Linked DNA regions of Arabidopsis thaliana. The protein of the gene in region 1 interacts with the protein of each later gene in a pairwise test. Each region holds a gene or a part of one and is shown in the gene's direction. Other genes may lie near its edges. The genes, in order: RK3, PUB38, PUB14 and SAUL1.

The links.
Region 2: the proteins of RK3 (region 1) and PUB38 interact in a two-hybrid assay, tested with the Arabidopsis thaliana proteins (one study listed by BioGRID).
Region 3: the proteins of RK3 (region 1) and PUB14 interact in a two-hybrid assay, tested with the Arabidopsis thaliana proteins (one study listed by BioGRID).
Region 4: the proteins of RK3 (region 1) and SAUL1 interact in a two-hybrid assay, tested with the Arabidopsis thaliana proteins (one study listed by BioGRID).

Annotation. Positions count from the first base shown.
Region 1 is NC_003075.7:11,388,325-11,394,831, reverse strand, and holds RK3 (receptor kinase 3), read left to right. Parts: upstream 1-1,605; 5' UTR 1,606-1,741; coding exon 1,742-3,038; intron 3,039-3,919; coding exon 3,920-4,054; intron 4,055-4,143; coding exon 4,144-4,337; intron 4,338-4,415; coding exon 4,416-4,626; coding exon of another isoform or gene 4,627-4,631; exon of another isoform or gene 4,632-4,717; coding exon 4,718-4,955; intron 4,956-5,051; coding exon 5,052-5,202; intron 5,203-5,286; coding exon 5,287-5,613; 3' UTR 5,614-6,005; downstream 6,006-6,507. Other genes in the region: B120 (S-locus lectin protein kinase family protein), read left to right, coding at 57-374. UniProt on the Arabidopsis thaliana protein: Involved in the regulation of cellular expansion and differentiation.
Region 2 is NC_003076.8:26,047,553-26,051,897, reverse strand, and holds PUB38 (plant U-box 38), read left to right. Parts: upstream 1-1,851; 5' UTR 1,852-2,054; coding exon 2,055-3,725; 3' UTR 3,726-3,833; downstream 3,834-4,345. Other genes in the region: AT5G65205 (NAD(P)-binding Rossmann-fold superfamily protein), read left to right, coding at 1-223, 373-532, 618-972; AT5G65180 (ENTH/VHS family protein), read right to left, coding at 4,092-4,345. UniProt on the Arabidopsis thaliana protein: Functions as an E3 ubiquitin ligase.
Region 3 is NC_003074.8:20,319,712-20,324,548, forward strand, and holds PUB14 (plant U-box 14), read left to right. Parts: upstream 1-1,641; 5' UTR 1,642-1,812; coding exon 1,813-2,094; intron 2,095-2,340; coding exon 2,341-2,457; intron 2,458-2,545; coding exon 2,546-2,959; intron 2,960-3,051; coding exon 3,052-4,137; 3' UTR 4,138-4,309; downstream 4,310-4,837. Other genes in the region: ARA6 (Ras-related small GTP-binding family protein), read left to right, coding at 80-185, 499-588, 693-779, 1,030-1,071; ATVPS33 (Sec1/munc18-like (SM) proteins superfamily), read right to left, coding at 4,575-4,664, 4,757-4,837. UniProt on the Arabidopsis thaliana protein: Functions as an E3 ubiquitin ligase with specific E2 ubiquitin-conjugating enzymes. Undergoes auto-ubiquitination.
Region 4 is NC_003070.9:7,215,047-7,221,382, forward strand, and holds SAUL1 (senescence-associated E3 ubiquitin ligase 1), read left to right. Parts: upstream 1-1,974; 5' UTR 1,975-2,359; exon of another isoform or gene 2,360-2,747; 5' UTR 2,748-2,765; coding exon 2,766-3,302; intron 3,303-3,398; coding exon 3,399-3,708; intron 3,709-4,004; coding exon 4,005-5,563; 3' UTR 5,564-5,796; downstream 5,797-6,336. Other genes in the region: AT1G20770 (coiled-coil protein), read right to left, coding at 299-375, 459-546, 637-686, 770-916, 1,039-1,156, 1,435-1,602; AT1G20790 (F-box family protein), read right to left, coding at 5,915-6,336. UniProt on the Arabidopsis thaliana protein: Functions as an E3 ubiquitin-protein ligase. Prevents premature senescence probably by targeting proteins involved in this process for degradation. Promotes the degradation of AAO3 and thus represses abscisic acid (ABA) biosynthesis.

The DNA of each region.
Region 1 (6,507 bases):
TGGTTTGGTTTGGTTTATAAATGGTCTAATTAGTGGTGGAAACTGAATGCTTGCAGGCTTGGTATTTGTATACTCATGGGAGATCAGAGGAGCTTGTGGATCCTAAGATCAGGGTCACATGCAGTAAGCGAGAGGCCTTGAGATGCATACACGTAGCGATGCTATGTGTTCAAGATTCGGCTGCGGAGAGACCCAACATGGCTTCAGTTTTGCTTATGTTAGAGAGTGACACAGCGACGCTCGCTGCGCCTAGACAACCAACGTTTACTTCCACCAGAAGAAACTCCATTGATGTCAACTTTGCTCTTGATTCGAGCCAACAATACATCGTTTCTTCTAATGAGATCACTTCAACGGTTGTTCTTGGACGATAAGATTCTTTTGTTTGTTCTTTTGTAAAGTTTTTTTTTATATAATTGTTGTGAAAACGTATAATATTTTTTGGTTAATTAGGATAATGGAGTAATGGTTGTTGAAACTTGAAATTTTGTTCATAAAGTGAAACATTACAAATGGGGTTTTATTACAGTATGATGTTGATATTTTGAAAAAATCACCACACTATTCTTTTTCAAAAATATCACAATGGATCAATTTACAAGTATAAACAAATGAAAACAGATAAAATATCAAAAAGCATTTATCTGAAATAAATCTTCAAATAAATCGTTTATACTATAACAAAGGTGGTAGTCTTAAAATATTTAGGTTAGTTTTGAAATGAGGATCATAATAATTGTTTTTCATTCTATTAAATATAGGTGAGTTGTTTCAAATATTGTAGGATTATTGTGTTTAATTTAATTAAAATGTGATTGATTTTTATGTATAGAGTTATTATATATAAATCAAACGAGGAACGAAGAATTATGAGGATGTTCAAAAATAAGACTTTTGGAGCGTTGACTATGGTAATTAGTACTGTTTTGATGGTGAAAAGAGTATTCGGTCTTCGTATTTCATACTTATATAATATACCTAAAACCGTGTTAACATAAATTTTCCTCTCCTCCAAGCTCCAAAGCCAAAAATCGTCAAACAAAATGCATAGGACAACATTATATTTGGTGATGAATAATTCAAATGTAGACTCATTATTAAATTGAATGGAATGATGAATTATTTAGAGTTAGAGAAAAAAAGAAAAAGTCAGGAAAACGTGAAACGACCCCTTTCTTTTTTGTCTTCGGAGAATGCGGAAATAAATTAAAGTAGGGTTTGTTTGATGAATACTAACATTGAAGTTCTTATTGGGAAGGATAAAAAAAAAATTGAGTTATTTATTACGAAAAAGAACACTGAAATTTATATAACTCTCGAAGCATGCATACAAAAGGTTGACTGATAATAAAATACGAAAAAGCAATATATTAAGTAATTTATTAAAAAAAATGGTCATCAATAATATCATATTTTGAAGAAAAATTCTGAATTTATGAAGTAAAAATGACTATTGGAAAAGGAAAGAAAGCCTGACAAAAAAAAAGAAGAAGAAGACTTTTTATTTGCTAGGTCAACTATGAATTGGACTGTACACATAGTACATAACTAGATATTTTTTCCAAATGCGAACAAGAAGACCAAGAAAAGAAAAAAAGCAAGGTAATATATTATTGACAGAAATAAAATCGGTTACGTAAGGTTCACACATTACACAAAACATGTCCGATATCTCCAATGGAAATAAACTCTCATACTTTTCTCAAGAAAGAGTGAAAAACAAAAAACTTGGTTTAGAGAAATGAGAGGTTTACCAAATTTCTACCATTCTTACACCTTCTTCTTCTTCTTCCTCTTAATTCTGTTCCCTGCTTACTCTATCTCTGCCAACACTTTGTCGGCTTCAGAATCTCTAACTATCTCAAGCAATAACACCATTGTGTCTCCTGGTAATGTCTTCGAGCTTGGTTTCTTCAAACCCGGTTTAGATTCTCGTTGGTATCTTGGAATTTGGTACAAGGCAATCTCTAAGAGAACCTACGTATGGGTTGCAAACAGAGACACTCCTCTCTCTAGTTCCATCGGAACTCTCAAAATCTCCGACAGTAATCTTGTCGTTTTGGATCAGTCCGATACACCGGTTTGGTCGACGAATCTGACCGGAGGAGATGTGAGATCTCCATTGGTGGCAGAGCTTCTTGATAATGGTAATTTTGTGCTCAGAGACTCCAAGAACAGCGCTCCAGATGGAGTTTTGTGGCAGAGTTTTGATTTTCCGACAGATACTTTACTTCCGGAGATGAAACTTGGCTGGGATGCCAAAACCGGGTTCAACAGATTCATTAGATCATGGAAATCTCCAGATGATCCATCAAGTGGAGATTTCTCGTTCAAACTCGAAACCGAAGGCTTCCCTGAGATTTTTCTATGGAACAGAGAATCACGAATGTACCGGAGTGGTCCATGGAATGGAATCCGGTTTAGTGGTGTACCGGAGATGCAACCATTTGAATACATGGTTTTCAATTTCACTACGAGTAAAGAAGAAGTGACTTACTCATTTAGAATCACTAAAAGCGACGTTTACTCGAGATTAAGCATAAGCTCCTCAGGATTGTTACAAAGATTCACTTGGATTGAGACAGCACAGAATTGGAACCAATTCTGGTACGCACCAAAAGACCAATGTGATGAGTACAAAGAGTGTGGTGTTTACGGTTATTGCGACTCGAACACTTCACCTGTTTGTAATTGTATTAAAGGGTTTAAGCCGAGGAATCCTCAAGTGTGGGGATTGAGAGACGGGTCGGATGGTTGCGTGAGGAAGACGCTACTGAGCTGTGGTGGCGGAGATGGGTTTGTGCGGTTGAAGAAAATGAAATTGCCGGATACTACCACGGCTAGTGTGGACAGAGGAATTGGTGTGAAAGAATGTGAACAGAAGTGTTTAAGAGATTGTAATTGCACGGCGTTTGCGAATACGGATATCCGGGGTAGCGGGTCGGGTTGTGTGACTTGGACCGGAGAGCTTTTTGATATCAGGAATTATGCCAAAGGTGGTCAAGATCTTTACGTTAGATTGGCTGCTACTGATCTCGGTTAGTTCATTCTCCACTATCTCTATTAGACTAAATGACATATGTTTGGTTTTCATTTTCCACATATTTACTTTTGCTAAGTAACGGTTGATAATAGTCTTCAAGATCACTTTTCAAAACATGTAAACAGTTTTATACATACTAGAAACTAAAAAGACATCATAAAAGATTTTGTCAGTAAGACTAAAAATTGATGCTAAAACTGCCCAATCAAGTTATTGAGTAATCCTATCACATTATACTAAAGATTTTCTTAAACGACAAAAGGAAGAAACGTTTTTTAAGGGTTTCAAGAATAGTAATTAACTTGGTTGTTAGATAAAGCACTTTTTTTTTGGGGTAGAATGTGAGAATGGTGTTGAATAGTGCAAGTCAATGTTATATTGTTGTTGGTTAACGAATTTGGAATTTAACAAAACGTTTTTCAGTTTTATTTTCCCTCTTTTCAAACTTCTTAAACTTGATTGAGATGTTGACGCATTCGGTCTTGGCATTATATGTGAAAACTCTTGTGATAAAGAACTAAGGTCCAATGGACTTTTAATCTTCTTAAAAGATGCAACGCATGAGTGAAACTTTTGATTACTACTATATTCTTCACAAAAACTTATCAATCTCAAGAATAATATGGTAAGGTAGATCCAAAGCCAAAAGAAATTATTTTTAGGTAGACCAATCTTTATGTTTTGTTTTTATTGGCGATAACAGTATAACGCTGTTTTTTGTTTGTTGGCGTTTATCTTTAATCAAAAGTACGACAATGTTTATTATTTTGTTAAATCATAAGACTAATACTAGTTTGTTTTATAAAATGATATTCATTTCCATGGTCGAGGTCCTAAATGTTGTGCTCAATTTGACATCTCTTTTCATTATTTCAGAGGACAAAAGAAACAGAAGTGCAAAAATCATAGGTTCGAGTATTGGAGTGAGCGTTTTGCTTCTTTTAAGTTTCATTATCTTCTTCTTGTGGAAAAGGAAGCAGAAGCGATCAATACTAATCGAAACACCTATTGGTATATCTGTAAATTTTAATTCCTTTCTTTTTGTTTGTAAATTTCTTAAAACTAATATCTTTACTGTTTTTGGTGTCTGTATGTAACAGTTGATCATCAACTGAGAAGCCGAGATTTGCTAATGAACGAAGTTGTAATATCAAGTAGGAGACACATATCTAGAGAAAACAATACAGACGATCTCGAATTGCCATTGATGGAGTTTGAAGAAGTTGCCATGGCCACAAACAATTTTTCTAACGCCAACAAGCTAGGACAAGGTGGTTTTGGTATAGTTTATAAGGTAAAAATGATTGAAAACTTAATTCATAATCTATCGCTGGACAAATATTTCGTTGTGTAACAAAATTAAGGGTTACAGGGAAAGTTACTTGATGGTCAAGAAATGGCAGTGAAGAGACTATCAAAGACATCAGTTCAGGGGACTGATGAGTTCAAGAATGAGGTAAAGTTGATTGCAAGGCTTCAGCACATAAACCTTGTTAGGCTTCTTGCATGTTGCGTCGATGCGGGTGAGAAGATGTTGATTTACGAGTACTTGGAAAATCTAAGCCTCGACTCTCATCTATTTGGTTAGTGTCTCAACTCCTTACAACTCTGTTCTAACAATTTTTCAATGTCTTTAAAAATAATGTACTCAATCCAGTGATGATTCATTAGCAGACAAATCCCGAAACTCTAAGCTAAATTGGCAAATGAGATTTGATATCATCAATGGTATTGCTCGAGGACTTCTATATCTTCACCAAGATTCACGGTTTAGAATTATCCATAGAGACTTGAAAGCAAGTAACATCTTGCTTGATAAATATATGACTCCAAAGATCTCGGATTTCGGAATGGCTAGGATCTTTGGACGGGATGAGACAGAAGCTAATACGAGGAAGGTGGTTGGAACCTAGTAAGCAATCATTCTCCAAAATATTAAAAATCTTTGTTTGAAATCTGAATTAAAAAAAAATAACTCAAAACTTTGAGTCTAATCTTCGTTATTCAGCGGTTATATGTCTCCTGAATATGCAATGGACGGGATATTCTCGATGAAGTCAGATGTTTTCAGTTTTGGGGTCTTGCTTCTTGAGATTATAAGTAGCAAGAGGAACAAAGGATTCTACAATTCGGACCGTGACCTTAACCTTCTCGGTTGTGTAAGTTAAAAACCTCTCAAACTTGATCTTGTTTTACACTCAAAATAATGATAACACTAGAAAAATTTCGATCATTATACACAGGTGTGGAGGAATTGGAAAGAAGGAAAAGGGCTAGAGATCATAGATCCAATCATCACAGATTCTTCATCAACATTCAGGCAACATGAAATCTTAAGATGCATACAAATTGGCCTCTTGTGTGTTCAAGAACGTGCAGAGGACAGACCAACTATGTCCTTGGTAATTTTGATGCTCGGAAGCGAATCAACAACTATTCCTCAACCTAAAGCGCCCGGTTATTGCCTGGAGAGAAGTCTTCTTGACACTGATTCTTCGTCGAGTAAACAGCGCGACGATGAATCATGGACAGTGAACCAAATTACTGTCTCGGTCCTTGATGCTCGGTAATGTGACTGTCAACTAGCCAATCTTCTATACTAAGATGACTAAATTGAGCGACAATAAGAATCAACTAGGAAAGATGGTATTAGTTATGTGCATAGTATTTTCTCTGTACGTCTCCGTTGCAAAGGTTACTACATGATTCAATTGTCTTAATTAAGCATGTATTCTGTAATTGCTTTATGGATAACCCAAATAGTCCTGCAGTTATAGGACATCAATGTGATATTTTGAAAGATTCTCAGACTTTCATATTATAAATTATGGCTACTAGAAGAGGCAAATATTGTTGGTTAGTAGAATTTCGGGTTGTACGTTTTGAGATTAGGTTTGTACATGTTGTAATAGATTTTTTTTTTAATAAGTACATACGTTATAAGAATTTTTTATGATCAGCAACACCTATTTCCATCGCTAACCATGGCCAAAATCCGGTGGATTTAATTTATGGGCTTTAGGAAGATCATGGGGGTATAGTGGATTTTTTGTTTTTAACTGATGACAGAGTAAATCCTTCATGGTTCCTTCATTTTAAGGTGATTTCAAATTTTCCTTCATTTCAAGGTGATTTCAATGTTTGTAGAGGCTTGATTAAAATTGTTTTAGATCATAAGGATTTTTGTGCATCAAAAGTGTTCGCAATTTCAATGTTTGGAGAGGCTTGATTAAAATTGTTTTAGATCATAAGGATTTTTATGCATCAAAAGTGTTCTGTCAAAATTCCTTAATTAACCTTTGATGAGTAGCTCGTCCTTTAATAATGATAGTTGATATACAGAATTGTGATTTATGAGCACATTAATATTGACATGAATGCTTGCTAATTTAAATTTTAAATGAGAGTTTAGAAATTTAGAATATTTAGCATAGATAATTAATTTCTTGAGAGATGATTTTTTT
Region 2 (4,345 bases), on another chromosome or scaffold:
CGATCGCAGAAGACGATGACTGAATTGGAGAAAGATTCCAAGTTCTTTGTGCAAGAGCTCGATGTTCAGTCTGAGCAGAGCGTGAGTAAAGTTGTGTCGAAAGTTATCGACAAATTTGGTCAGATTGATGTTTTGGTTAATAACGCCGGAGTTCAGTGTATCGGACCTTTGGCGGAGATTCCAATTTCAGCCATGGATTACACCTTCAACACCAATGTGCTCGGTGAATGAAAATTTTCGAGTTACTTCTTATATGCACACCATGTGTTTGTTAAAATTCTTGACTCAACTCTTTCATGTTTTATTTTGCTCTGTTGATTTGGGTTGTGAGAAGTCTCTTCAAGAACTGAACTTTGTAAAGAAACTTTGCAGGTTCCATGAGGATGACTCAAGCTGTTGTACCTCACATGGCGTCTAAGAAAAAGGGAAAGATTGTGAACATAGGAAGTATTAGCATAATGGCACCAGGACCATGGGCTGGGGTTTATACTGCATCAAAAGCTGCTCTTCATGCTCTTACCGACACTTTAAGGTTTTTCGATTTCAGCAGTCTCTTTTCATCAGCTTGATTAATATCATCTAAACAGTAAACACTATCTTGTTTTGTGTTTGTCTAGGTTGGAGCTTAAGCCATTTGGGATTGATGTAATCAACATTGTACCAGGAGGTATTCAATCAAACATAGCTAACTCAGGGATATCGAGTTTCAACAATTTACCTGAATTGAAACTATACAAACCGTTCGAGGACGCTATCCGTGAGAGAGCGTTTCTGTCGCAAAACATAAAGCCGATACCCACAGAGACTTTTGCGAAAGAGACTGTTTCCGTGGTGCTGAAGAAAAACCCACCGGCTTGGTACTCTACAGGTAGGTTATCTACAGTCATGGCGATCATGCACCATATACCGATTTTCATGAAAGATTTTCTGTTGACTAAGAGTTTTATGAAAAAGGGAGTAAAACCTGAATAGTTGTGTTCTTGGTTAGAAACTGTTTTAAATGTATCCAACAAAGTAAATGTGTTGCCTAACCATGTTACATCTTTAGTAAAAGGATTAATCAAGGTACTACTTTGGTAGGGTGTGCAAAAACAAAAACAAAACAGTGGCTAAGCAGAAACTTGGTTATAAACAAAAAAAACAGTGCCTAACCATGTTACATTTATAGTAAAAGATCCAAAAGGCCGAACCAAAACCAAATCGAACTAAAAATGAGTTTTTATTCGATTTTGGTTTGTATAAAACAGGTAAAACTTAATTCGAAACAAGATAAAACCGTAAAGCCAGATTGTCTACTAGACTACCCTTATACTTTGGTTTTTGGTACAAAGATTTGTAGGGGAAATGTCATATCATCTGTGATGCAACTTGCAACCCAACAATGCATCATCAGAGGACAAGATAAAAAGTGGTCAGAGGTTCAATGTAAAGCTTACAGCTAAAACTGAGAAAAGTTTTTTTCCCCTAAAGCTAAGAATGGCATGGATGTCCATCATGTTTAGTGAAAAATCTAATCATTTTATTATTCAGCAAAAATTAAACTTATTGATGCCACATATTTCAGTGTATCACTGTATTGTCATCCTTTTAAAACAAATTAGATTACATTCCAAAATGATAAATTACATTCCAAGTTTATAAGTACGTAAGTTAAAAGATATGTTTTTAAGAAAAGTATATGAACAAAATTGACCTGAAAAAGAAAGCAATAAAACTTTTCAGAATGCATGAACTATGAAAGCCAATTCACATCTGGGTCCACCTATATTAATTTCACAGTCAACATTTTCGATTACTACTAATATGTTCAAGTTTTTAAAAAAAAAATTAATAGTCACTTCGAAAATAAACAAAAGCCAAAAAAAAAAAGTCAGTAGGCCACAAAGTCCTTCAGTTCAGGAGGAAGAAGACGACTCTCCTCTCTTCTCATCTTTCTTCTTCTTCTCAGAAAATCACGAAAGATGAATTCAAATCCCTAATTCCTCTCCATAAAACCCAAAACCCTTTTCAGAAATCAAACTCACCACCAATTCCTGACCGTTGATTTGTCGCAGATGGGTAAAAACGGACGGCTCAGATGGAATCCTTTCAGCCACAGATCGTCTTCTTCAACCTCTTCATCTTCACGACAACAGCAACAAGAACAACAACCTCCGGTCGAATTTCTCTGTCCGATTTCAAAATCAGTAATGTCTGACCCTGTTGTTGTCTCTTCCGGTCAAACCTTCGAACGTGTCTGTGTTCAAGTCTGTCGCGACCTCAACTTTATCCCCAAACTCAACGACGACGAAGAATCTCTACCCGATTTCTCCAACATCATCCCTAACCTAAACATGAAATCAACAATCGATACTTGGTGCGACACCGTCGGCGTCTCACGTCCTCAGCCACCTGATTACTCCACCGTCGAGAGAATTTTACGGCAACAGATGCCTCCACCGGACGTCGAGATTCGTGTCTCCGAGCAAGAGCTTCTCAGAGCTGTAGCTCACCGAGCTCCGATGATAATTCACCACGCTGATTCTGAACTCATGGGAAGGAGAGATTTCAACAACTCCACGACCTCTTCTGATGAATCTGTAATCGTTGCTCACAGTCCATTCACTCCTCTTCCTTTAACAACTAGACCCGCTTGCTTCTCTCCATCTCCATCATCTTCTTCCTCCGAAATCGAAACCCTAACGCACCACACTTTCTTCTCTAATTCTACTTCCACCGCCACAGAAGAGGACGAAGTGATTTACAACAAGCTTAAGAGCAGTGAGATTTTTGATCAAGAGCAAGGTTTGATTATGATGAGGAAGATGACTCGTACTAATGATGAAGCTAGGGTTTCGCTTTGTTCTCCTCGGATTCTTTCTTTGTTGAAGAATATGATTGTTTCGAGATACAGTTTAGTGCAGACGAACGCGTTAGCGTCGCTTGTGAATCTGTCTTTGGATAAGAAGAACAAATTGACGATTGTTCGGTTAGGATTTGTTCCGATTTTGATCGATGTTCTGAAGTCGGGGTCTAGAGAAGCTCAAGAACACGCAGCTGGAACAATCTTTAGTCTTTCTCTTGAAGATGATAATAAAATGCCTATTGGAGTTTTAGGAGCGCTTCAGCCATTGCTTCACGCGTTACGTGCAGCTGAGAGTGATCGGACGCGGCATGATTCGGCTCTCGCGCTTTACCATTTGACGTTGAATCAGACGAATCGATCAAAGCTCGTTAGGCTTGGAGCGGTACCAGCGCTTTTCTCGATGGTTAGGTCCGGTGAATCGGCGAGCAGGGCATTGTTGGTGATCTGTAATTTAGCGTGTTGTAGTGAAGGAAGATCGGCGATGCTTGATGCGAATGCGGTTGCGATTCTTGTAGGGAAGTTAAGGGAGGAGTGGACGGAGGAGCCGACAGAGGCCCGGTCATCGTCATCGGCTCGTGAGAATTGCGTAGCGGCGTTGTTCGCATTGAGCCACGAGAGTCTTCGATTCAAAGGACTAGCGAAGGAGGCGAGAGCAGTGGAAGTGTTGAAGGAAGTGGAAGAGAGAGGAACAGAGAGAGCTAGAGAGAAAGCAAAGAAGATTCTTCAGCTGATGAGAGAAAGAGTGCCGGAGGATGATGAAGAAGATGGCGAAGGATCAATTGATTGGGACCGAGTTATCGACTCCAACGGCTCAATTAGGTCTAGATTCCGAGTTGGTGGTAGAAACAGAGTGGTCACTCAAAACTCCTCTGGCTTCTAAAGTTCCATTCCATTTGTTGTTGTATAGTAGACATTCAAAATGTTTTGTGATTGAAATTTTTTGTAAACTTGACTTGAAATATGTGAGAAAAAAAGCATGACTGATGTATATATATTTTGTACAATATATAAAAGATCCATTTGAAACAAACGCATACTAGATATAAATGTAACGCAGATACACAATAGAAGTCTAACTATGTTACAAAGAAGAAAAATTGACTAAACAGCTCAAGGTACAAGATTTGTAAGACAAAAGATCTCGTTTCTACTTTCTACAATATGCGTTACATGAAATAAAATAAAGTGGGTCAGAAACTATCTAATACTAGAACTAATTGGATTTTTTGGTTTGTTTTTACTAACCTTAAGAATGGTGTGGAGGTCCAAAATACATCATACCCGGTGGATGAAAACTCTGACCTTGTTGCGCTTGTTGCTGAGCTGCATTTGGTTGGTTGTTATTATTCATCATATGCGGCGGCAACGTTCCAGGCGGCGGTGGCGGCAGTGCTCCAGGTGGCATTAATGGAATGTTACCAAATCCATAAGGAAACTGTTGTGATGCGGCTGGATTTGGTATTATGTGATACTGCTGAGGATTTGGAGGAACAACAAATG
Region 3 (4,837 bases), on another chromosome or scaffold:
CAGATTTGTATTGCTTATTTTATTAGATAAACGCTTTGCAAACTTACTAGGATTTAACCTGCATTCACTTTATTTTTAGGTATTCTGCTCTTGCACCACTATACTACCGTGGAGCTGGAGTTGCTGTTATTGTGTATGATATAACAAGCCCTGAATCGTTCAAGAAAGCACAGTATTGGGTTAAGGTATGTTTTCAGGGGGTTCAAAAGGTTCCATTTCGTTCATGTTTCTAGGATTCGTGCAATAGCTTCCGAGCTATATCTTTACCAGGACTGAAAATTAGAGTTACAGACAGTCATATAGCCAACAGCACTCCTGTCTGTGTATATAATGGGTATCATTTAGTTGGGCAACTGGTTTACTTCTCTGACATTTTTGTTCCATTAATTTGCACTCGTTGCTACCATGAAGCCATTTGGCACAACTCCGTGCAGGAAAGATATCAACATTATATTGAATCTAGTGCTATTGTTTTACCCCTGCCCATAAATCTAACAGGAACTGCAAAAGCATGGAAGCCCAGATATTGTTATGGCTCTGGTTGGTAACAAAGCTGATCTACATGAAAAAAGAGAAGTACCTACTGAGGTGAGTTTGCGTAAACGTCTTCATCTAGATTCCGTAGCGCATTTTGTTGTCACTTTCATTGTCCTTGCTTCTTCAGTGGTATCACATTTTCAATTTCTTAACAGGATGGAATGGAGCTTGCAGAGAAGAACGGCATGTTCTTCATTGAGACGTCAGCCAAGACAGCCGATAACATAAATCAACTGTTTGAGGTGTGCACTTCTTTCTTGCCTCTGATTTATGATCGATTTTCTTGTCCTCTGCATTTATTGAGATCTTATTATCCGTTTCTTTCATTGCTTTGGAATTGGAGGATGGAAAAGTGATAGGCAGTGATATGCAGCTAGATATGAGATTTAATTTCTTGTAGTTTGTGGAGGATAATAGTTTTGGATGCAGAAAGATGGATTAATACGAAGTATATGAGATTTTAACTTGTTGTAGTGTACACATGTCTGATAGGAAATTGGCAAGAGGCTACCTCGTCCTGCTCCTTCGTCATGATTGGAGTGTTGAATCATCTCATCTTCAGCCATGTCTTCAGACTACTAATCTTTCCATACTTTTTAATGTAATGTTTCAAAACAATATTTCTCTATCTGTTAAGTCAAGTGTGTTGTATAATGTGAAGATTTGAGTTTGAAACTGGGGATATTACGAACCTCAAAAGTGGAAACCCAAGTTATATCAAGCAATGGATCATCAGTACATATTTTAGTGGGATTCATCAGAAGTAGAGAAGAGTAAAGCTTCATTCAAATGATTCAATGCATGTATAGTTTGTGGGAGAGACTATTGCAGCCAATTCTAACAAAACCTAAATCAAGAAATTATTTGACAATTTCAAAGAGACTAACAAACAGGTAGAGAAATCCATTATACAAAGGATTTGACTTTTGATGATTTCAGATGCAAATACAAACTTAAAAACTTTATATATTTGTATTGGTCAACCTTAATATCATAAATTTATAGTTGAGGCAATAAATAAATATGAAAATCTAAATGCAATGTTTAAATATTAAAATTTAACGGCAAAATAAAATAGAAAAAATTATGATTGGTCTGAAAATGGACAAAATGAGACTTTTCATGTCCAAATAGGTGTTTATTGTCACGTTGATGAGAAGACTATTTCGTTCCATAGCATTTCTGTTCCTCCTCTTGGTTTTTTGGGTTTCTTCTTCCTCGTCTTGGTTTCGTTAAAACCCTTTTGAAGCCCTCTGGAACAGTAAAATCTGAGGGATGGGATTAACGAATTGTTGTTCCCACGAGGAGCTAATGAGTCGACTCGTTGACTCCGTTAAAGAAATATCAGGGTTTTCATCTTCAAGGGGTTTTATTGGGAAGATCCAAGGCGATCTTGTTCGTAGGATCACGCTTCTCAGCCCTTTCTTCGAGGAATTGATTGACGTCAATGTTGAATTGAAAAAGGATCAGATTACAGGGTTTGAGGCTATGAGAATCGCTCTTGATTCAAGTCTTGAGCTTTTTCGATCGGTTAATGGAGGAAGCAAGCTTTTTCAGGTTACTCATTTACTTGCTCTGTTTTATTTGTATTTATATCTTTGGTAGCTGGCAAAAGTTGGCAATTTCCTTTGTTTTCTCTTCGAGGGTTTAAGATTTTGGTGTTTAGGGTTTTGTTGTTTGTCTTTGTCTTCTTTAACAATATCAAGAATTTGGGTTTTGTCTTGTTTCTCTTATTTTGGGATGAATCAAATTGAGTCTGATAACAAGAAGTTGAGACCTTTTTCGTGTTCTCTCTGCTGGCAGCTTTTCGATAGAGATTCTCTTGTGGAGAAGTTCCGTGACATGACAGTGGAGATAGAAGCAGCGTTAAGTCAGATTCCTTATGAGAAGATTGAGGTATCAGAGGAAGTCAGAGAACAGGTACTTCTCAATGCATTGATTTAAGGAGGGCTATATTTTTCTGTTGATTAAAATCTGAATTCTAATGATAAGCTCTCTGAATTTGTAGGTTCAGCTTCTGCATTTTCAGTTCAAGAGAGCAAAAGAAAGATGGGAGGAGTCTGATCTACAGCTTAGCCATGATCTAGCTATGGCAGAGAATGTGATGGATCCTGACCCTATAATCCTCAAAAGACTTTCACAAGAGCTCCAACTTACTACCATTGATGAGCTGAAGAAAGAATCGCATGCGATACATGAGTATTTTCTTTCATATGATGGAGATCCTGATGACTGTTTCGAGAGGATGTCTTCACTTCTTAAAAACCTGGTAGACTTTGTAACAATGGAAAGTTCAGACCCTGATCCATCCACTGGCAGCAGAATCGTTTCGAGACATCGTTCTCCTGTTATACCAGAGTATTTTCGGTGTCCGATATCACTTGAACTGATGAAGGATCCTGTTATCGTCTCCACTGGACAGGTCTGGCTTTGCAAGTTTCGTTGTGCATTGTAGTGAATTTGATTATTAAACTTGTGTATTTGTTGTTATAGCTGAATTTTTCGACCTTGCAGACATATGAAAGATCATCAATTCAGAAGTGGCTTGATGCTGGTCATAAAACATGTCCGAAATCTCAGGAGACACTTTTACATGCTGGATTAACCCCTAATTATGTGTTAAAGAGTCTCATTGCTTTGTGGTGTGAAAGCAACGGCATTGAGCTACCGCAAAATCAAGGGAGCTGTAGAACCACAAAAATAGGAGGAAGCAGCTCTTCAGATTGTGATCGAACATTTGTCCTTTCCTTGTTAGAGAAATTGGCCAACGGTACTACAGAACAGCAAAGAGCTGCAGCTGGAGAATTAAGGTTACTAGCCAAGAGGAACGTGGATAACAGAGTTTGTATCGCTGAGGCTGGAGCCATACCACTCCTTGTAGAGCTTCTATCCTCACCAGATCCTCGGACTCAGGAACATTCTGTGACAGCTCTTCTGAATCTTTCCATAAATGAAGGGAACAAAGGAGCCATTGTTGATGCAGGAGCCATAACGGATATAGTAGAAGTCCTAAAGAACGGAAGCATGGAAGCTAGAGAGAACGCTGCTGCAACCCTTTTCAGTTTATCTGTTATAGATGAAAACAAAGTGGCAATAGGTGCTGCTGGAGCTATCCAAGCACTTATAAGCTTGCTTGAGGAAGGAACCCGAAGAGGCAAAAAAGATGCTGCTACAGCGATTTTCAACTTATGCATATACCAGGGGAACAAATCAAGGGCGGTTAAAGGCGGTATTGTTGACCCTCTGACCAGATTACTGAAAGATGCAGGTGGCGGAATGGTGGATGAGGCTCTGGCCATTTTAGCAATTCTTTCAACTAACCAAGAAGGGAAAACAGCGATAGCTGAAGCAGAATCTATCCCGGTTTTGGTTGAGATTATAAGGACAGGGTCACCAAGGAACCGGGAAAATGCTGCAGCAATACTTTGGTATCTATGTATTGGGAATATAGAAAGGCTAAATGTAGCAAGAGAGGTTGGTGCAGATGTGGCCTTGAAGGAACTTACTGAGAATGGCACTGATAGAGCAAAGAGGAAAGCTGCGAGCTTGTTGGAGCTTATTCAGCAAACCGAAGGTGTTGCAGTAACTACTGTTCCATGAAAGCCTCGCTCTTTTGGAATGTTATTTGTTTCAGTGTAGATTATATGTATAGGAACCTTTGGTTTGAGTCTGACATAAGAATCTTATGTAATGATGTTATATGTAATTTTCGACTCAGAGTTGTGTATATCTATTTGATATTTAAAAGTAAAAGTAACCCTATTATTTACTGTTTCACACTCTCGATTTGCTTGAGAATTAGGGAGAAGTAAAGCCGTATATAACTAGCAGAAGTTGAAGTGAAAGGTTGTACCAAGAAAACATTATTGAATTTGTATAATCACGCTGTATCTCAACCATTTAATATACACATACACATACGCATACCATTCACTCTGCAACCACAATGATCCAGAAAAATAAACAAAGACATACAAAAAATGAATTAATAAACACACTCGAAAGAGAAAAGATGAACATAACGCTCAGTTTACGGATCAGCCTAGTTTTTCCATGAATGTTTCTATCAACGTTGCGCCGTTGACGATTTTTGTTGTGGCAACAATCAAATCATAAGCCATTCCTTCCTGATAAAATTTTATGCAGAAGCAAGAATGGAGGATTCAGCGGACAAAAAGAGTGTTTTTTTTATGGTAAACTTTTGAAGTTTGATATATACCTTAGAGGCGAGATACCGTAAAGCAGAGATTTCAGCAAATGTTACACCTCCAATGAAGACAACAAGAACAATTGAGCGTCT
Region 4 (6,336 bases), on another chromosome or scaffold:
TTACTGTTTCTCTTCTCCAAAATGTTTTATTATTTTGATATATCCTTAGCTCGAGGTCTTGTAAGAACTTCTGGTAACATTTAACCAAATCAAAACAGATACACTTGAAGGTGGTAGCTACAAAATTGAAAATCGAGCTAATGCATTGGTACATTCTAACCCTCTGACTCGAAGAAGATATGATTTTCGCAGCATCAAACTGCTATGATCAATGTAACATCAGTCTTTGAGGTTGGCTCCATTCTGTTTCCGTTGAATCCACTGAGCACATTTCAGGATCAGTTGTTACCAAGGAACTTCACTTCTCTGTGATCCGCTCAAAGGCAGATATCATCGATGCACGCATGTTGGCTATTTCCACCAGAGTTTCAAGAGCTGTCCAAAGACGAGAGAAAAAAGAGTTTCAGTTGTAAACTGGAATCTTCCTTTGAGTATACTTGTGGTGATGAGGATGTTACCTGTTTCAAATGATTGTTGAGCGCCACGCAGCTTAGGAGAGACTAGACCTCCAAATACTGACAGAGATTTTGCCCGTTCTTTCTTTATCTGGAGCTCAACACATTCGAATTAGTAAAACCATCGTCCTACATTTTGAAAACAAGTAGAGTTTCTGCAGACGGTTAAATGATTGCTCACCTCTTCATCAGCTGCTAAAACGGTTTCATCCTTGGCTGATGGTTTCTCTTCTATCGAATTACATAAAGCAAGAGATGATGAAACACCGACAAACAAAGGGCAGAGAATAACCAACAGATGAGTCTTTTTTTACCAGAAACTCCTCGATGTCGTAGCTGTGGGCTGAGAGGTGAGCCTATCTCCGAATCTGTATCAGTAGAGAAGTCTTTGCCTTTCCTGCTACCGCCCTTGGAAGCCCACTTGGACAAAGCAAAATGAGGTACTGATCCCAAAGATTCAACTACAAGAGTCCATAGACATACACTGTATATAAGTTGCTTCCCCGCAAAAAAAACATAAATTCATAGCATATAAACGTAAACCATTGAACTATCAAACGCCCAAAGCATAAGCCAAACTTACCATCTTGGTCAGTCACTTGCAATGTTGAAGAAGCGGGATGATACTTAAGATCTAAGAGAGTGCTGTTGATGCGTAAAGTTCCCATAGAATGTCGAGCACTAGCTAGATCAAACCATCCCTGCAAAAATAACACATTTCAGTTCCATACCAAATAAGTTAATTAAGGCAGCAGACTCTCACTCTCATCATATCAGTGATATGAATCCACAAAAAAGTTTCTCCTCATGGCTACTATAGCTAGATAATCAACGAAAACGTTTCCCACGCAATCCTTTTTAATCCCAGATTCAATTCAATTCAACACAGAATATCTCAAGTCATCTATACATCAGAACATAAGAATCATTCCCATAAGATCCCATTTTAGCTCAATACACCAAATATCATTCCAATTACCTCTCGAAGCTTAGAATTCACAGAATCCATAAGCGTTAAATATCCATCCAACGAATCTAGAAACTGCAAAACATTCTCATCTCCTCCCCCTTTTCCCAGCTCAGTTTTCACTTCTGATTCTTTATTCACATCCACTGATTCATCTCCTTCCTCGTAAATCTCCGCCATCGAAATTTAGCTCCAACACACGCGAATCAACAAATCGAAGCTTACACGAGGAAGACAACGTAAAGCGATCGAAACAGAGACAGATCAATTTCTCGAGTAAACGAGGCTATTTTCGTAATATTTCAATTAGTAAAGGCCCAATAGCCCAAGTAGAAGACAACGTAAAGCGATCGAAACAAAGACGGATCAAACGAGGCTATTTTCGTAATATCCAATTAATAAAGGCCCATTAATACCAATAGCCCAAGTCGAAAGATTACCTCTTTCGGGTCAAACCGGTTATGTTTATGGGTGGGTGGGTAGAGCAAGTCGAGTGTGTGTGAACACAGCGCCAGGCTGTTTGTCTCAGTTTGTCAAGTTGGCGTTTGGTGGCTCCACGTCTCTCTCTATCTCTCTCTCTCACATGACTTTTCGATTTTAGTCAACCTTTCGTGCTTTTCTCTTAAAAATTCGATTTTTTCTTCAACCCATCTTCTTCTCTGTTATTTCCTCTCGCTTTTACCTGTCTCTCTCGTTCTCGCACGGGGATAGAATCAACTCTGCTCGAGATTTTAGTAGGAGGCAAGCTCGATTGCTTGCAATTAGATCCATGGATGAAGAAGAACTCACACTTTCTCGCGCGTTTTTAGCTCAAGGAGATTTTTGAAGAAGTGGTCGTTTTCGAATTGTCAACTTCAGAAGAAGAATCAACTTTGGTTTTTTCTTTTCCCTTCTCTGTATAGCTTTGAGGAGGCGCTTCTTCAACTGGAACAGGCTGGTGTGCTTTTTTTTTTATCTCTTTTGGTATTTTTGAAATGCTTCATGAGACGTTGTTTCTCTTCTTTATCTTTTTGACGAATATTGCTAAATTTGGTAATCTTGCTATATAAGGGTTCATGGGAGTGATGATTTTGGGACACTGTTACTTTTCGTATTTTAGGTTATAGTTATGATTGAAAGTTTGAATTTTGTTTCCTTGGCTGTGAAAGAATCCGGGAACCAAACTGTGGTACTATCCCTTTTTGTGTTTCCAAAACTTTCTCATTCATTTACTATCAAATTTCGACACTTTCTTACCAGACTCTCTTGCATTGATGTATCCAAGTGGGTTTTCATCTAGGATCCTATGTTTCATAACAATGAGGTATTTGCTTGTACATTTGCAGTGAGTTTGAAGGATTAAGATGGTTGGAAGCTCGGATGGTGACCAGTCAGATGATAGCTCTCATTTTGAGCGAGGAGTAGATCATATCTATGAAGCATTCATCTGCCCATTGACAAAGGAGGTTATGCATGATCCTGTCACTTTAGAGAATGGTCGAACATTCGAGCGTGAAGCCATTGAGAAATGGTTCAAGGAGTGTCGGGACAGTGGGAGACCTCCTTCTTGCCCTTTGACATCTCAGGAGCTGACTAGCACTGATGTAAGCGCCAGCATAGCTCTGCGTAACACTATCGAAGAGTGGAGATCCAGGAATGATGCTGCCAAGCTTGACATTGCTCGTCAGTCACTGTTTTTAGGGAATGCTGAGACAGATATTTTGCAAGCTTTGATGCATGTGCGACAGATTTGCAGGACCATCCGATCAAATAGGCATGGTGTACGCAACTCTCAGCTTATCCATATGATCATCGACATGTTAAAAAGTACTAGCCATAGAGTGCGGTATAAGGCTCTACAAACTCTGCAAGTTGTCGTTGAAGGAGATGATGAGAGCAAGGTTGAATCTGATTTCTTTTCATCTCTGCTGAATATTTAGTGTAGCATTTTAATGGGAAATTGAGCGGGTGCTAATTAAATTTTCAGCATCTTGCAGGCGATAGTAGCTGAAGGGGACACTGTGCGTACACTAGTTAAGTTCTTATCACATGAGCCATCAAAGGGGAGGGAGGCAGCTGTTTCCTTGCTGTTTGAGCTCTCTAAATCAGAAGCTTTGTGCGAGAAGATTGGTTCCATTCATGGAGCACTAATATTATTGGTTGGTCTGACAAGCAGCAACTCAGAAAATGTTTCAATTGTTGAGAAAGCTGATAGAACCTTGGAAAATATGGAGAGGTCAGAGGAAATTGTTAGGCAGATGGCTTCATATGGTAGACTCCAGCCTCTTCTAGGCAAACTCCTTGAAGGTGAAAGAATTTCTTTTCTTTGTTTGGTTTTAATATAACAATTACGCTCTCTACTTCATTTGCATAAAACAAGTTATCATCTTCCTTCAGTTGGTAAAATTCTTCCTTCAGTTGTTCGGATGCATCACAGTGTTATGGTATTCTGCCTTAGAATTTGTTTGCTCTAGGAATTTTACATGTTCGCTTGTAAGAAGAGTCAATTTTCTTCTACCCAGATGGTCAAATCTTTCATTATTTTCCTCTGTTATATGGCAAATTTCTTGTATGAATAATGACACCACATGTGAAATCTGCAGGTTCACCTGAAACAAAACTCTCTATGGCTTCCTTTCTCGGGGAGCTTCCCTTAAATAACGATGTGAAGGTTCTTGTGGCTCAGACTGTGGGTTCTTCTCTTGTCGATCTTATGAGAAGTGGTGACATGCCCCAACGGGAAGCTGCCTTGAAAGCTCTTAACAAAATCTCATCGTTCGAAGGGAGTGCTAAGGTCTTGATCAGCAAAGGAATTCTCCCCCCACTTATCAAAGATCTGTTTTATGTGGGGCCAAACAACCTTCCAATTCGGTTGAAAGAAGTCTCTGCCACTATTCTTGCTAACATAGTGAACATCGGGTATGACTTTGACAAAGCCACTCTTGTTTCAGAGAACAGAGTGGAGAATCTGCTCCATCTAATTAGCAACACAGGTCCAGCGATCCAGTGCAAGCTGTTGGAGGTTCTTGTTGGACTCACCAGTTGCCCAAAAACAGTTCCAAAAGTTGTTTATGCAATTAAAACCTCCGGTGCAATCATCAGTTTGGTTCAGTTTATAGAGGTCCGAGAGAATGATGATTTGCGGTTGGCTTCCATAAAGCTTCTTCATAACCTTTCCCCATTCATGAGTGAAGAACTAGCTAAGGCCTTATGTGGCACTGCTGGACAACTCGGAAGCCTTGTTGCTATCATTTCAGAAAAGACACCAATCACTGAAGAACAGGCTGCTGCTGCTGGGCTCTTAGCTGAATTGCCAGATAGGGATTTGGGTCTTACTCAGGAAATGTTAGAAGTTGGTGCTTTTGAAAAAATCATATCCAAAGTGTTTGGAATCCGCCAAGGGGATATCAAGGGAATGAGGTTTGTGAATCCTTTTCTGGAAGGACTTGTGCGTATACTTGCTAGGATTACTTTTGTTTTCAACAAAGAGGCTCGGGCCATTAACTTTTGCCGTGAGCACGATGTTGCGTCACTCTTCCTTCATCTGCTCCAATCCAACGGGCAAGATAACATACAGATGGTGTCCGCCATGGCTTTAGAGAATCTTTCACTAGAGTCTATAAAGCTGACACGGATGCCTGATCCGCCTCCTGTGAACTACTGTGGCTCGATCTTTTCGTGTGTGAGAAAACCACACGTTGTAAACGGGCTGTGCAAGATCCACCAGGGAATATGTTCATTAAGAGAAACATTTTGCCTTGTCGAAGGAGGAGCTGTGGAGAAATTAGTGGCTCTATTAGACCATGAAAATGTGAAAGTGGTTGAGGCCGCACTTGCAGCTCTATCGAGCTTACTAGAAGACGGGTTAGATGTAGAGAAAGGGGTCAAGATACTCGATGAAGCGGATGGGATACGGCATATACTAAACGTTCTGAGGGAGAACCGAACAGAGAGGCTGACAAGGAGAGCGGTTTGGATGGTGGAAAGGATCTTGCGGATTGAAGACATAGCAAGAGAGGTGGCAGAGGAACAGAGCCTGAGCGCTGCACTTGTGGACGCTTTCCAAAACGCTGATTTTAGAACGAGACAGATCGCTGAGAACGCGTTGAAACACATTGATAAGATCCCAAACTTCTCAAGTATATTCCCAAACATCGCATAGGGAAAATCTCTTTGAAACTGTCCAGTGAGTTATAGTGATTTTAAAACTGTGGTTTTTGTTTTGATGGGATTACTTGTTAATAGGCATCCAGTTTTTTTCTGGGTATATATTGTAAATTCCGATTCTTATTTGTTTATAAATCCTACGTTGGAAATCGAAATCATTTGATTGGCCTCAGATTAAAAAGGCTTATGTGTGTTGCGGAGGGAGTTGTGCTTACTTTTGCATCAAATATATATTGAGTTCATAGATTAAACCAATTTGTAAAACGTTTTAAGCTTCACACAAACTGATTTGAGATTTGGGAAGAACAAAAACAACTCTTTCTTCGCACCCTTTAAATAAACTAATTTAGTTAATAAAAGACAAAGTACGATTAACCAGACCCATAATAGCCATTACAGATGAGATGACTTCAGATCTGGTAACGGTCTCGGTCTCGGTCTTGGTCATGGGCATAGGCATAGGCATAGGCATAGGCATAGGCATAGCCATGGCGATGGGCATAGGCATAGGCATGGCCATGGGCATAGGCATGTGCATGTGCATGTGCATGTGCATGGGCATAGGCATGGGCATGGGCATGGGCATAGGCATGGGCATGAGCACATGTACATGTTCTTGATCCAGTAATCCAATCACAGAAGACCACGACGGCTTAAACAGAAAAAAGTCTCGATCAGCATCGCACCACGTTGGAATCGAACCCAAAACTCTCCACTTGTTAGCTCTCAAGTCGTATCTGTGAATCACTGAGCCAACCAGACTCATCA